2 linked regions of the Rhinolophus ferrumequinum genome follow. The protein of the gene in region 1 purifies or fractionates together with the protein of each later gene. This does not show direct contact. Links are inferred from orthologs where the notes say so. Each region holds a gene or a part of one and is shown on either strand. Other genes may lie near its edges.

Region 1 (7,166 bases):
GGGAAATGATGCAAAAATGTTGGTCTTGGATTGGGTAGAATAATTGTTGCCTTTAACAATTGGAAGGAAATAAGGAAGGAAAAACTGATACTGATTTTGGTCAGATTGTATTTGAGGTGTGACTGAATATCCAAGAATGAAGTCTATTCACCACACGATTAGAAAAGGGAACTGGCAACTCAGGAGAGAGGCTGGTGGTAGAAATAAAAACTGTAAAAAGTTAAGGAACCAATAAGCAGTGAGGAAATGGAAATAATATGCATAGTCCTGATATTGAAGAAATTAAGCGGTGGACAGGAAAGTAACAGAAATGAAGGGCCTTGATTTTTCAATTAAATAGAAAGTGAGGTCATCTGCCACAAGAGGTAGAATGAAAAGGGTCACAGAGAGCTAGGGGAAAGGTTGGGGAAATAGCAATGGCAGAATGTAAGCAAACCAAGAAAAAAAGAATTAGAGAGAAGCTGTCATATTGGCAGACATTAAGTTATAGAGACCCTGCTAGCTTCTGTGCCTGTTCTCTAGTCATATGCTGTGGCCTAGAAGCAGAAGCCCAGAAAACAATTGATGGGTATGATTCACGATAACAAAAGTGCTTGCTTAGTATAGAAGATCAAAACGAATAAAGAAAACAATGAGGATAGTATCAAACTAGCTGGTTAGAGGTCTACCAGGGCAACATCAAGGGTAGTCGTGAAGGTTCTGGTAGACTCAATGAAGTGGAAAAGAGTTAAGAATCAGAGAACCGTAAGGAGGGCAAAATGCTGATTCTGTGGGTGTGAGGTAGTGAAAAGGGTGACCGGTAAGGAAGCTAAAATAAGTGATGAGAAGCACATGGAGGGGAAGCAGTGTCATAGGTGCGGTCCAAGTTGTAGTGACTGTGATGTGTGGCTGGTTTGAAAACACAAAGGAAGGTCAATAGTCTCATGCTGAAGAACTTTAAGATCAGAGTATCCTAAAGGTGCTGTGCTGGAGATACTGAGAATGAGAGCCAGAAACAGAGTAGAGAAAAAAATATGTGATGCCTGACCACTGCACTGTACACCTGAAGCTGAAACTGAATAATATTGTATGTCAACCATAATTTAATATATATATAGTCATGGGATATGGAGTACAGCATAGGGAATAGAGTCAATGGAATTGTAATAGATATATATGATGTCAGAGGGGCAATAGATCGGGAGAGAGGGTTTATCACTTTGTGAGGGGTGAAATGTCTATTACATTGTTTTGTACACTTGAAACTAATTAAAAAAAAAAAACAACAACAATGATGTGATAGGTCTGGGTCCTTGTGGGCAGTAGATGGCCCTGGGGTATTAGAGAAAATGTTGTAATTGCATGGCAATACCGTCCACAAGTATTAGAGTGACAGTGGTAGATCAATGATATGGAAAGAGTAAAGGAAAGCAAAAAAGCAGTGTGATTCCTTCTCCTCTTCCACATGGGTCTCCGAAAACAGAAGACACCCCTTGGTGGGAGGGTAGGGTGAGATGTGACATCTGGATTTTCGTTATATCAAATTAAGGAAACAGGTAAGAATAAAGAAGTGTACTGGAAATTAAGTAATATTTTCAAAGCACACATTAAAAGGAGCTAGTTGAAGAAGGACCTACTGAGTAGAGAGGAGAGGTTGTACCACTTTGAAGTGTGAGGTTGGAGAATGACAGGATTGTTGTCATTAGATATAAGAGAAGTGGTTTGGGATGTTAAGGAACATGAAAAAAAGCAAAGCGAGAAGCATAAATGGCACATTTTAAAACAGACCGTATGTAGCACAGTACAGACATAGTGTCACTTCCAGAGAAGACTATATATACACAATGAGGGCTACAAAAAAGAAAAAAGTGGGAGTGGCCACTTAGCTCAGTTGGTTAGAGCACAGTGCTCTTAACAAGGTTGCAGGTTCGATCACCACATGGGCCACTGTGAGCTGTGCCCTCCACAACTAGATTGAAACAACTACTTGACTTGAAGCTGATGGGTCCTGGAAAAACAAACTTAAGAGTAATACTTTGCCTTGCACAGCATTTTATAAGTTGCCTTCACATATGCCACCCTATTTGATCCTCAATGGATAGACAGTACTATGCAAATTTTTCTAAAGAGGAGGAAATTCGGATAGGACAAAACGACAATGAAAACCTTGCTTTTTCAGTTTTCAACACATAAACCTCACATACACAGCAGACACTTCAGCATCTCAATCAGCCAGGCTCGAAATTCTTCACTAGCGATAAGGAACAGTAGATTCTATCAAATTATCAAAGGGCTTGAGGCCACTAGACACCTTGCTGGTTTGCCTTCTTGCACCTTAGATCCCTCAACTTCTATCATCATCACCAAAGAAAGTAGAGAAGGGTGGGGCCATCAAGGAGAGAACTCAGCTGAAAGTTGTATTACGTTTCTCTTCCCTTCACACCTCTGTACCTCAGTGACCCAACAATAAAGATGAGGAAGAAAGTGGAAAAACCACTATGTAGCAATGAGACCTTCTACAGATACAGTTTCGAGAAAAAGAATTAAAACGTTGCTGTGGTAGGGCAGAAAGCAGGTATAACTAAGGGGGGGGAGGGGAAGGACAGGAATTGGAGGGAACTGAGAGTGTAGGAGCCCCCAAGACTGGAGAACCCAAAAGAAATATTGAAGCTTCAACTGCTGGAGAAAAGCTAAGAGCCCGAAAGGGTCCTGGAGCAGGGACCAGCATTGAAGGACCCCAGGGTTTGGGTGACCGGAAGCAGAGACCCCTAAACTCGAAACCAGAAGGGGGCGCAGGTGACACCCCGTGGGAGAGAATGAATGGGGAAGGCGGTTCGGAGGGCGGGGCAAAGGAGGGGCCCCGGGATGGGCGGGGCACAGACCCCTTTCCAAGTCCGAACCCCTGCCCCGAGAGCCCGGAGAGAAGCGGCTCCGCGCCTCCCGCACTCACCGCCGGTCTCGTCAGTTACATAGGGAGTCGCCATCTTGAAAACGCAAACCACTTCCGGCGTGAGCGGGCTGGGGTCCCGCCCCCTCCCCACCGGAAGTGGAGTTCTGATCGTAGCAAGCCACCATTTTAGTCTTAAAGAGAGAGTACACCATTTCATGACCGGAGGTGGAGAAGAAGGAAGGGAGGAATAGTAGCTGAAGACTTTAGTAAAATAAAAGCCGTGGGCTCTTTTACTGCCACTGATACCATTATGGAGCGTCTGCTGCGTGTAAAGCAGTCCTCTGGGCGCCGAGAGAAGTTCCTAAGCACAGCCCCTCTCCTCACATGCACTCTTCATCCGACCAGGACCTGCGAGGGAAAAGGGGGCAAGGCCCACCTGCACCCGGAAAGGGGGGGCTGATAGATGAGAAAAGGAAGAATATTCAGGCTCTGGCCTGCACTCAGGTCCCAAAACGGCGTGAGGGCATGGAGCAGCGCAGGCAAACTCCGGGAACGCACTGGGGCGCACTAGTGTTGTTGGAGGCTAATAAAAGATCCTCACTACTCTTTTAGAAGGTGGGCAGGTCGAAATCGCGTGCGGACTGCCCTCAGCCGCCCAGCTCAACCCTCCGGACTGAGAGCCGCGAGAGAAGGTGGAGGGCGCTGCCGGTTTGTCACCTGTCCCCGCAGTCTCAGGGTTGCCGACAGCTTCCATGCCGTGCAGGTGGTGGGTCGGGTTGGGCAGGAAGCCTGGGCCTGGCCCTGCCCTTGGGGCGGCCCGGGGGATTCAGGCGGCGAAGTGACGACTGCTTAAGTTTGCTCTGGCCTTCGGCCCCAGGAGCCTCTTCGGGCTGGGCCCCAGGGTCAGAGGGCAGCGTGAAGACTTATGGGCGGACCCAGTTAGTATTCTAATTAACCTCGTACAAGTCTCTGGGCGACGGGATCGAAAGCGGGGCAACTTGCCAATAATCCGGGCCCACATTGTCACTCCCTTTACAACCCTGCCCTGCCCTGCGCCTCCTTATTCGTTAGACCAACCCGAATGTGCTCCCTCCCCAGTTCTTCTCAATAGCTGTTGTTCCTTCAGGGCCAAATCCTGCTGAACTCGTTTCCCCTGCAGCCTGGGAGGGGCCAGCTGCAGGTTCCTTTCCTCAGGTGTCACCTCTGCCCTTCCCCACCCACGTTGCTTTTTCCTTATCAACCCGTTTACCTTCCCCAAATCCCTTACATTGGCTTAGGTTAATTCCCAACAGTACCTCTGAAACCAGGGAGGAGGATGAAAGTGGGTACTAGTGACTATCTCCAACAGAAGGCTGCGTGCCCCAGTTTAAAAAACAAAAAACTGAGAGTAGTGGCTGACTACGGACTTCCTAAGGCTTTAAAATTAAGCTTCAGAAGTTTTCTGGCGTCACAGCTTGCCTTCCTATGCTCCCCTTCCCTGACTTCCACCAGAGGCCCAACTCAGAACGTCTCAAAAGACTAAAAAAAAACTGATTGCATTCAATACACAGTTATTGTAAGTGTTCTAACACTTGCCATCCTTAACCCCTGTTCTCATCAGTTGTGCTTCATCCCTGCCAGGTCTAGCTAGCATCTTGTCCTTAGCCCTGTTACGAAGGATTAGAGGTGAGAGTGTGGGATGAAACCCCTAAAAACTAGAGGGATACATTGGTCTTGACTGTTCTACCTGAGGAGTATTAGTACTAGTGGGCTGCTCTATGGACCTTTGTACAAGAGGGAATCCTAAAGTGGCCCTTGTTAACTACCCAACGCTAGGCCCTCCACTGTGCCCCCAGACATCCTGCCTCAGCTCTGGGGTTGACAGGAAGTGAAACTCAACTGCCTGCCTAGCAGATCTGCCTGGGACCCAGCCCTGGGCCCGGATGTGCCCCCCACCTGAGGAGGAAGAGGGGAAAGAAGAGGCTGCGGAGAAGAAGGCTGTTGTTTTTTCCTTTCCCTTTGTTCGTTGTGGTTTCTTTCTTTCTGATTTTTATGATGTGGTTGATTAAAGAAATGAGCACCTGGAACTGTAGGCATTAGACGCCTCTTTCTGAGATGTTTCTTGGCCTTTCTTCCCCCCACCCCCAACAACAACTCACTTGGTGTATGATGGAGAGCACAGATCCTAAAGAAGACACAGAGAATATGACTGATTCTGTCTTGTTCCTTATTACAGAGATCACCTCATGTCCCACTTTGAAGTTTCAAAAATGTCTTAAAAGGAGCCTCTTTAACTTCATGTTGGAACATATCTGAGGATGATGGAATGAAAAACACAGATCATACATATAGGGTGGTATCACTGTGTTAATTGCAAGGAAAGCTTGATGCCTTAAGAATGAGTATCATTCCAGGATTGCTAGATGAGAGGTTCGGATTGGAAGAGGTGCTAGGGGTCTTGTTCTTTACTTACACTATATGTTTGTTTAGGATGGCTTAGAGTGGGGAGACACTATACACACACACACCCCAAGCCACTCTTTGGTGCAACCCCTAAACTAGACTATGTCTTTGGCTGTCCTGCAGAACTAAGTACAGGACCTGATGCAAAATAGAACTTCAAAAGTTTTTATGATTCCTTATGACTAAGGAGGTCATATAGGACGGGGAGATGAAGGATGGGGAGTGGCAGTGCCCTTGTCTTTTTAAGGTTGGAGGGGACACAGGAGCAGAGAGACAGACCTTCTCCAACCCATGCCTCAGATCTCCAGTTCAGACGCAACAACAATACCCTCAAACCCAATTTACTCAGCAGCTGTATTTCTGATAAAAATGGAGGAGTCTCTTCTAACAAGCTTGTCTTGAAACAATCAAGAACTGCTTAGAACCCCCTGTTTCCACTAGAGGTCCTCATGAATTCATTCCTTCTCCTCCACCAAAGGCTGTGTGTGTATTTGTGTGTGTGCACACGACGTGTACAACACACACACATATATCCTTCCAGTCAGAGCTCTCCCCTCCCCCTTTCTTCCACCACCAGGTGTAAAAGGGAAGATTCCAGGAACTCTAGACTTTGTTACTTGCCCTACTTCAATGAAGGGTAGGAAGGGGTTAGACGGTGTTGGGGCGGGGCCAGGGAGCAGGATGCCTGGGTCCCCAGTTCCTACCAGTAAGTCCCTAGGCCTCTGTTTCTCTACCTTGCTCTACCAACTTCACCACCATCCATGCTGCCACCAGAGCCTTAACTCCAGAACAGATTCCAGACTGGAGAAGCTGGAAGGATCTTCCTTCATCTTCTCTTTTGGCCAGGGCCTTCTACACCACCCACCAAGGCCAGCAGGTAAAATGGGACGGTTGGGCATAAAGAAAGGGTGTTCTTTGTACCTAAACCTCCACCCCAGGAATTAAGGGAAAGATCTGAGTCTTGAGAGAAGAAGATGTCCTTAGACTTGGGAAAACAAGTCTGAGACATTTTCGCGAGGTGAAGAACCTGGAGGTGGGCAGATTCTCACAGGTAGTGTCAAGCAGTGTGGAGCACATGGTCCGGGAGCTGTTCAGGTCTCAGGATGTGGAGTCTGGAACTCTGGCCTTGCCGCTGTGAAATCTCCTGAGTATGAATTTAAAAGTCAATGGTGGATGGAAAGCAGTTGGAAAGGGAAGTCCCCAGATGGCAGCAATTAGGAGAGGATGAGACCTTGGCTGGGTGGGCAGCGGCCAAGCTATCCCATCAACAGCCCTGCCTCCTATCTTGGACTCCAGGGTCGGAATGAAGGAAGAAGCTGTGAGTGATTGGAATGAAGGGAAAATAGAAACAGAGCTGGTCCCGGGGCGGGAAGAAAATGAGAAGCTCAGGATGTGGAGAAAGTGGCACAGACCAGAGCCCTGGAGTAGTCGTGGGAGGGGGTGGGGGATGAGGTTTGGTGAAATAGAAACTGAGGCTTCTCCAGACTGGCAGTTTCCAGAGTTGGGGGTGCCTGGCGCCGGCGGGCGGGCGGGGGTGAGGGGCGGGCAGCTGTGTCGTCAGGAGCGGGGCGGCCCAGCGGCGGCGGCGTCTGCCTGGCCCGTCCCCTCCAGCCCTGGTCGGGCTTCAGCTCCCGCGTCGTGCTTCAGCTCGGATCGCGCGCCCTCGGCAGGCAAGGTAGAGACCCCGCGAGCCCCCGGCCGCCGCCAGCCCTACCCTCACGAGCAGGAGGGGCGGGGGTCGCAGGAGGGGACTCCCCGCGGGCTGGGGTAGGGCTGCTGGGCCGAGAAGGAGGAAGCGTGACAGCTGGAGCGGGTAGATACCTAGCAGGGTTTGCGCCAGGACGCGGGGGCAGCG
Region 2 (8,070 bases), on another chromosome or scaffold:
GCATTTCTGTTGCCTTTTGCCCCTGTGCTGTCATATAACTACAGTCATTAACGGGTCACACAGTCATTGGACTATAGAGCTGGAAGGAAGCTTAAAAACGATGCCAGGAGGGCAGGAAATTTATCAGACATATTTTTTCTCTATTTAAAAGAAACTGGTCCCTGTCCTTTTCCTCCCTTTCCTTCTCCAGGAGACTACTTTGGGCTGCCTGATCACTGTACCAAACCTGCTATCTATCTTTCCAATGGAATTATGAAGGCCCTGGCAGAAATGGCCTTTCAGAAACAGAGAAAACTAAAATTTTATTTATTTACTTTAGATAGCATGGTTATTTATAAAACAGATGGAGGTAACCTGTAACCTTGGAATGAGATCAGATTTAAATTTATGGCAAAAAGTACTATTGATCCCTCCAATTCTCTCTTTGTGATTGCAGTATATTAATTCACTGAAACCATTTTCTAGGTACCAACTAAGTGTCAGGCACTACAGATGTACAGGTCAACCAAACATTTTCTGTCTTTATGGAGCACATAATAGCAATAGAGGAAGACATGTGGAAACATAAAAAAGAATAGATTCTTTTCAGAGTATTAAGATACAAAGAGATCATTTCTACCCAAGAAGATGAGGAATGGGGTCAAGAAAGGCATCATAGGAGAAGTGACCTTAAGCTAAGTCTTAAAAATTAAGTAGGGGTGTCCAAGTTGCTTCAGGCAGAGGAGACACAGAGGCATGGAACAGCATGGGGACTTTAAGGAAGTGCATGTAATTCATTAGAAGGAACAAAAAGCTCAAGGGAGACTTAGCAAGAAATGAGGCTCAATGAAAAGACAGGTTCAATTAAGCACTTTATAGAATACTTCTATTTAATTTCTGATTCAATTAAGCAAACATTTCTTGGTCATTTATTGTGTACGAGGCACTGAGTGCATCATGAAAACTTCATCAGGATGTGTTGCCAGCCCTTTGCAGGCTTGGCATTCTTCAGCCTCAAGCTTTCCAGTGGCCAAAGGGAAATCGTGACTGCTTTTCATATATTTGAGTTGAAGTTTTTTGATATGGTCAATGACAACTAATATAAGGGCCGTGGAATTTTCACAGAAGCACTCCACGTTGTCAGGAGCCTCAGATTTTCTCAACAGTGAGAAAGAAAACTGGAAATGTTGAAGACATGAGTCTACAGAGGTAACCCCAGCACTGTCCAGTCAGGCGTTGGTGGGAATGGGGAGAGGGCACAGGAAGGTGAGCCTCCCCACCTCACTCCCTAACTTTAGCCACACACTCGTCATTTCACAGAATATAAATGGTTAGCAGTTAAAACATTTCAGAGTAAATTATTTACTTTCCCATCAATGCATGAAGATAGAGGATTGCAGTTTTCTCACACTGTATTTTTAGGGTATTGGGGATATTCAGGATATGGAGAACTTAGAGGTAGAAGAATTACAGCTTCAAATTTTCAGTTAATAATTCAGGAAGCTCTTTTCATTCAAGCTATGCACCATGTGCATATTCAAAAATCAGCAGAAACCCTCTGTATTTGCAACACTTTGTGCTATAAAAAGTAATTTTAAAAAGAACCACCTGTATATGTATATATAGATATATTTAAAGACATGAAGGTTTTGATACTTTTTTACAAAAATTACAAGAGAAAACAAATACCTGTACAAACCATGTGTTTTAAAATAGCATTTTGTTCTATACAAGCTGTTGTTAATTTGGGGGTGAAGTACTGGTCTGCAAACTCCATCACACTGTACCCCAATGAATTTTCCTTGTTTGTTCCCCACCCCCTCGCACACACACACCCAAATTACCATATTTGATGTAACAGGCAAACAGGCATGTTAGAATGTTGGATCACACTAACCATTTCTGATCTTTTTGTCTCATCATTCCGAGTTCCGTTAGTTTCTGTACTCAGTCCCCTTTGCAGTCTGGTTTCTCTTCCAGAGGCAAAGGGTGGAGTGTTGCATCTTACTAGCTGTATTGACGTCATCTTGGTGAACTAAAAACCAAGTGTGGACATTTGTAAAATCAGTGCACTGTTTCTAGAGAGACATTAAATTCATTTTTTAAAATCTGAAAGTGTTTCATTGTGATGCTTTAATGAGGGGGGAGTGAACAATCATTGGTTGAGTCCCTAGTGTGGACCTAGTATTATTCTACATAAATTACCTTAATGTTCATCAACGAATCTGTGAAATAAATACTGTCAACATTATCATTCCCATTTTATAGATAAGGAAATGGGTGAAGGAACTGCCCAAAGTCATAGTTATGTTTAGTGCCCCCAAAGTACATGTAGCACATAGCGCTCATGTACATGTGGCATTCTCTGCCTCGATTTTCCTTCTCTGCCTCTTTATCTGGCTAACTCCTGTTTGTCCTTGAGTACTCTGCTTAGGCCTACTCCTCCAGGAAGCATTCTCTCAGACCCAGACCTAACTCATAGGGTAGGGTAATTATGCTTCCACAACAAATTTGGCCTACTTGTATCCCAATACTTCTGCCCTGCTTCTCACCCCCATGCCACTGAGGTTGCTTTTTACCAAGGTCAGCCAGGAGCTCATTGATCATAAATAGTGTAAATACTTTCACTCCTTACCTTCCTAGACCTTGCAAGGAGTATTTAACACTGTTGGCACTCCTTTCTTAGGATACTCTTACTTTGGCTTACATGACACCATACTTCTGTTTTTCCCCCTACCTCTCTGGCCACATCTTAATCTCCTTTGCTCACACCTTAAATTATGGTATTCCAGCTCAAATCCATCCATTTTTGTATCTCCATTGCTACTATTGGAGTACATAAAGATCACCATCATGGATTATCACCATCGTAGATTAACAACTAATCTGAATTTCATACTTCTAATTTTTCCATTTTCCAATCCAATCTATAACATTGTAGCCACAGTAATCTTTCTAGAATACATTAGGTCATGCCACCACCACCCCGTTTTACTTTCCTGCTTTAAAGCCCTTCATCTGTTTCCTTTGTATTAAAATCCAGTACCCTTGGGTTTTAGCCTAAACTACTTAATAGGGCTTGTAAGATCCTCATGATTTGGCTTCTGCCCCTTTCCTACCTCTTCTGTATTCTAATCACAGTTCTGGGCCCTCTGGAACATTTCCTTCAGACTTCCCTTAAGCCCCTAGACTGGATTAGGAGCCACTCCCTGTGCTTCCATAGTATTTTGTGCTTCCCCTATTTATAACCTTGATCCCTACATTATAATTGCTTGTATGCTCAATTGCCTCCTCTGCAAGCTCTATAAAGGTCTGTTTTATTCACCATTGTATTCCTAGCGCATGACACACAGATTAAAACCCAATACCCCGGGGTTTTAGCCCAAACTCCTTAATATGTCTTGTAAGGTCCTTCATGATTACCTGATGTCTCTATATACTTAACTCCAGTTACTACCTCAAGATTTTTATAAGGATTGAAGGAACAAGCACTTGTAAATGGGCTCAGCTTTGGGGCTGACATTTATTAGGTGCTTAATACCTGGTGATTCCTTTCACTTTTTTATACAATTTCCTTGTTACCACCTATATCCAGGATTTTTAAAAAATAAAATGCCTTACGGTTTTATGGTAATTTAGTTTGTATTTTCCAATTTCCAAAACATTGTTTCTTATCCTTGAAAGAGTTCTGCCAGGTATATAACAAGCTCATTTTAAAGATAAGAAATCTGAAGTCCAAAAAATTCAGTAAGTTCACCTTTGATCACAGTGAATCACTATCACACAAAGGATTATTTTAACACTTCTCAAGTGATTTTTTTTTTTACATCACATCACACCCACTTTACACTCTGCTACCAATGCTTTTTCTGGGAGAAAATGAACAATGGCAAGACTAGGAATGAGAATCAGACTATAGGCCTGAATACAAAAATAGTATCCAGTTATAGTTGCCAGGTCCCAAGAATGATGCCATCTCGGCACTGTCTCTAGAACCAGTTCCATTCCCCCTCTGGCTGGAACTTAGGTGAGCTAAAGCAGGGTTCTAGTAATTAGGATTTTGATTGCCCTTTGCCTAATCAAGAAGCAAAAATTTCCCACAGCCAGAAATCCTTCACAGAGGTCAACCAGTTTGGCCTGAAGAGACAAGAACCTCTTGGGCAGTTCTCAACCCTGACTCATCCCGGGAGCTTTGCAAAAAACAAACAAACAAAAACCCCAAAACCCCCCAAACAAACAAAAACCCAAAACCACCCATGTCCAGGTCCACTGCGAGAGATCTTGATTTAATTGGTTTGGGGTGGGGCCCAGGCATCGGTATTTTTCAGATGCTCCGAGGTGATTCTATTGTGCAGCCAGGGCTGAGAAATCCCTGCTGGGTAAGCAGTGCATAGATGTCTGGGGAGTGGGAGATCAAATACTCAAATTACCTTCTACGCACGCACTTCAGAGACCAGTGAGGTAGAACGGGAACGGCAGAAACAAAGGGTAGAGGGAAAATGAGAAATACGTGCGGGCAAGTTCATTCCAGAGAAATGGCAGTCTCCACTATGGGTTCAGGAAAAGCATCTCTGACAAAGGTTTTCTCGAACTGGTCCCTAACCAGCCCAGTTCGGTCGGAGCCAACTTTAGACATATGCATATAGTGCGCTGCGTTCTCCTGTGGGAACGGGTCATTTAACCCCATTTTACTGTTGAGATGACCTAGGTCCAGAGACCGCGAGGCGCCTTGTGCGACGCACACAAGTCCTTTGAATGGAAGTTGAGCCTGAAGGGACGCAGGACTCGGGGTGTTCAACCCAAGGTCTTGAAGCGAGGTCTACACACCCCTCACCGAAGCCCTGAATCCCTTCGTGGCTTGGCTGTCGGCCTCACTCCTAGGAGAACGCCGGCGGGTAAATCTCCGCCTCGTTTCCGCCTCGGGCTGAGGGAACGTGGCTGCACTGACCCCTCCACCGAGTGAAAAGAACATTGTTTCCGCCAGGAGAGACCCGGCAGCCTCAGCCCACAGCCCGGCTCGGGTGCGGAGCGGCGCCTTCGCTTCCGGCGATAGCGTTGACTTGACGTCACTTCCGGGCGCCGCCGTAAACGTCAGTGTTGGGCGCGTATGGTGGCGGTGTGGTTTGGTATTCAAGTTTGGTCTCCGTTACCTGTTGCGAGCCATGGAGAGTGACTTTTATCTACGTTACTACGTGGGTCACAAGGGCAAGTTCGGCCACGAATTCCTGGAATTTGAGTTCCGACCCGACGGTGAGAGCGGCCTCCAGCGCCCCGGGAGCTAGGAGTAGGCCTGGGGGGAGGCCAGTGGGGAGCCCGGGGGTCCGGAATGTGCGGGGAATTAGAGGAACGGACTGATACCTGTGCCGCGCGGATCTAGAAGGAACACTCCTGTGCTCTTCCTGTCCATGTGGAGGGACTTCTGTTTAGTGACATTTTTGACCAGCGTGCCTCATTCAGCAAACACTGATTGAACGCCCTCTTTGTGCTAGGCTGTGTTTCACAATCTGGGATACAGATTGATGTGAATGATAGATAAGCTTCCTCTCTCGTGGAACTTGTACTTCTATTGCGGGGAGAGAAATCGTAAACAAAAAAGGAGTCCAGATAGTGATCTGAAAATAAAGCAAAACGATGGAATTGCTGGTGGGCTGCTTTTAGATAGAGTGGCCATTGGAGAGCTCTCTGAAGAGGGGATGTTTGAACTGAGCCCTGTTTGACAAGAAGGAGCCCCCCTTATGAGGCTCAGAAGGAAGAGCATTCTAGGCAGAGGGAGGAACAAGTGTCAAGGCGGTAGGGCAGGGATGAACTAGGCATATTTCAGGTGACCAATATGGTTGAGAGTAGTGACCTCTGGGGAGAATAGTAGGAGATGATGTGGGATAAGTGGCAGGGGTCACACCATGTAGGTCTTTATAGGCCATGGTGAAGAGTTTGGATTTTATTCTAAGTGCAACAGGAAGCAACTGGAAAGTTAAGCAGAGAAGAGATGTGATCTGTGCTTGAGAAAGTATGCTAATTAGTGGGTGCAGAATAGGCAAGAGTGGAAACAGGGCTACTTATTAAGAGACAGTTAACAATTGTCCAGACAAAAGCGATGTTGGTTGGGTGGTAAAAATGGAGAGAAAAATTTAGGGTACTTTTGGAGGACGAACCAATAGGACTTTGTAAATTACATGATTTAGGGAGGGGCCACAGTGGTGAAGGAAAAGGAATAAAAAATGACGGAAAACTCCCACTAAATGGGGGCACAAAGATGAATCTGACAAGCTGAATTTTATGAAGGAGATAGATTTTTAAACAATGATAAGACAGTATTTTAGGTGCTGTGGTAGAAAGAAACAGAAGGGACTCTGGGAGTAGAAAGAAGGCATCTAATCTAGCCTAAGGGTTCAGAGCAGGCTTCTGGCATAAAATAACTTGGGGGCGGGGGAATGTGTCTTTAGTGGCTGTAGGAGTTGTTTAGGCAGATGAGACTCAAGAAGGTATTTTTGGACTGCATTTAAGGCAAAGAGAATGAAAACCAAAAAGTGCATGGGATGTTTCAGGCAGAAACCAAATAGTCCGATTAACTCCAGCTATGGGAGAGAGGACTGTTGCAGGAGTGAGCCTGGAAAGGCAGGGCAGGGGGCTCAGCTTAACAGTATGCCATGTTAATTTGGATTTTATCAAGAAGGCAGTGGGAAGCTACTGTCCATATCACAGTATTAGGAGTAACCTAATCAGATCTGTCTGTTACTACATCAGTTTGTCCACTATAGGGAGAATGAACTGAAAGGACAGACTTGAGGCAGAGAAACAGTGCAGTGAGGCATCAATTAATTTGGCTCTTTTTACATGTGTGCCTTCTATTCTATGGGGAAAAAAATCACCTCTTCTGTTTCTTTGTATCTTCTCCTTCATACCCACCATATACCCAAATTAGCCCGTTGAATGCACATATGCACAAAGGGCCTTATAAACCAAATGTGCTAAATAATAAAACAACTTTTCCATCATAGGAATAGATCAGAATATTGCACAGTCACATGGTAATATATGTAAACAGTATTTTACAGTTTTCAAAAGGCTTTCACAACTCATTTGAGCCTCTGGAGGCTCTCCGTGTAGGTAAGTTCCCAGTTACTCTCCCTGTTTTCAGCTGAGATATGACGTGCCTGTCACAAAAGAGTCTGCCTATGTTCTTTTATCACATCTGAGCTACCTTTTGCAAGAACTGTAATTCATTGTCAGCTATATTTTTGGCTATGAGGCTATTTAATAGCCTGAAGTGAAGAATTGAAAAAATTGTTACTGTTGAAACACCAGAGGTGTAAATAGTTAATCTGGGTGTCGTGCTCCTAATGCTGAGGTTGCCCATTCGATTCCCACATGGGCCAGTGAGCTGTACCCACCACAGCCAAGATTGTGAACAACGGCTCTCCCTGGAGCTGGGCTGCCGTGGGCTGCCGGAGGTTGGCTTGGGCTGCTGTGTGCTGTCAAGAGCAGCCGGTGGCCAGTGTGAGTGGCCGGCAGCCAGCAAGAGGTGCACTGAGCTGCTGTGAGAGACCGACCAACGACCGGCAACCGACTGCCTCAGCCAGGCGGGAGCACAAGGCTCGTAATACCAGCATGGGCCAGGGAGCTGTGTCCTATACAACTACACTGAACAACGGCTTGAACCGGAGTTGAGGGGGGAGGCAGAAAAAGGGGGGGGGGAGTAAATCTGTTAGACACTTGAGGGGAAAGTTAGGATACATTTTAAGCAACAGCTGATTGTCTTAGTAGGCTAATGATGTTTTATTCATGTTTTTATTATACATTGAATTTGTTTTTTGCCCCTCATAGGGAAACTGAGATATGCCAACAACAGCAATTACAAAAATGATGTCATGATCAGAAAAGAGGTAATGAGTCTTCTGAGAGCCTTTCATTCACTACGACTTAGCCTTTTGTCTTGTTTTTGTTCTTTCTGGGAGTAGTATTGAAAGATAAAGAATAGGGAAGTATAGAGTTTGTAGACAGCTTCTAAAGTTTTTCTCAAATCTACTTTTCATTTATATTTTGTTTCACAATGCTGAATCAATTACTGGTAATCATTTGATGTCTTGCAAA

What was found.
Region 2: the proteins of PYM1 (region 1) and MAGOH purify together in Homo sapiens (co-immunoprecipitation; 8 studies listed by BioGRID and IntAct, counting the BioPlex papers as one, with this or other methods). This does not show direct contact. The link is inferred for Rhinolophus ferrumequinum from reciprocal best matches to the Homo sapiens genes PYM1 and MAGOH.

What each region holds. Positions count from the first base shown.
Region 1 is NC_046293.1:55,336,212-55,343,377, forward strand, and holds the start of PYM1 (partner of Y14 and mago), read right to left. Parts: upstream 3,150-7,166; 5' UTR 3,087-3,149; coding exon 2,930-3,086; intron 1-2,929. UniProt on the Homo sapiens protein: Key regulator of the exon junction complex (EJC), a multiprotein complex that associates immediately upstream of the exon-exon junction on mRNAs and serves as a positional landmark for the intron exon structure of genes and directs post-transcriptional processes in the cytoplasm such as mRNA export, nonsense-mediated mRNA decay (NMD) or translation.
Region 2 is NC_046292.1:38,088,303-38,096,372, reverse strand, and holds the start of MAGOH (protein mago nashi homolog), read left to right. Parts: upstream 1-5,050; 5' UTR 5,051-5,141; coding exon 5,142-5,229; intron 5,230-7,803; coding exon 7,804-7,862; intron 7,863-8,070. UniProt on the Homo sapiens protein: Required for pre-mRNA splicing as component of the spliceosome. Plays a redundant role with MAGOHB as core component of the exon junction complex (EJC) and in the nonsense-mediated decay (NMD) pathway.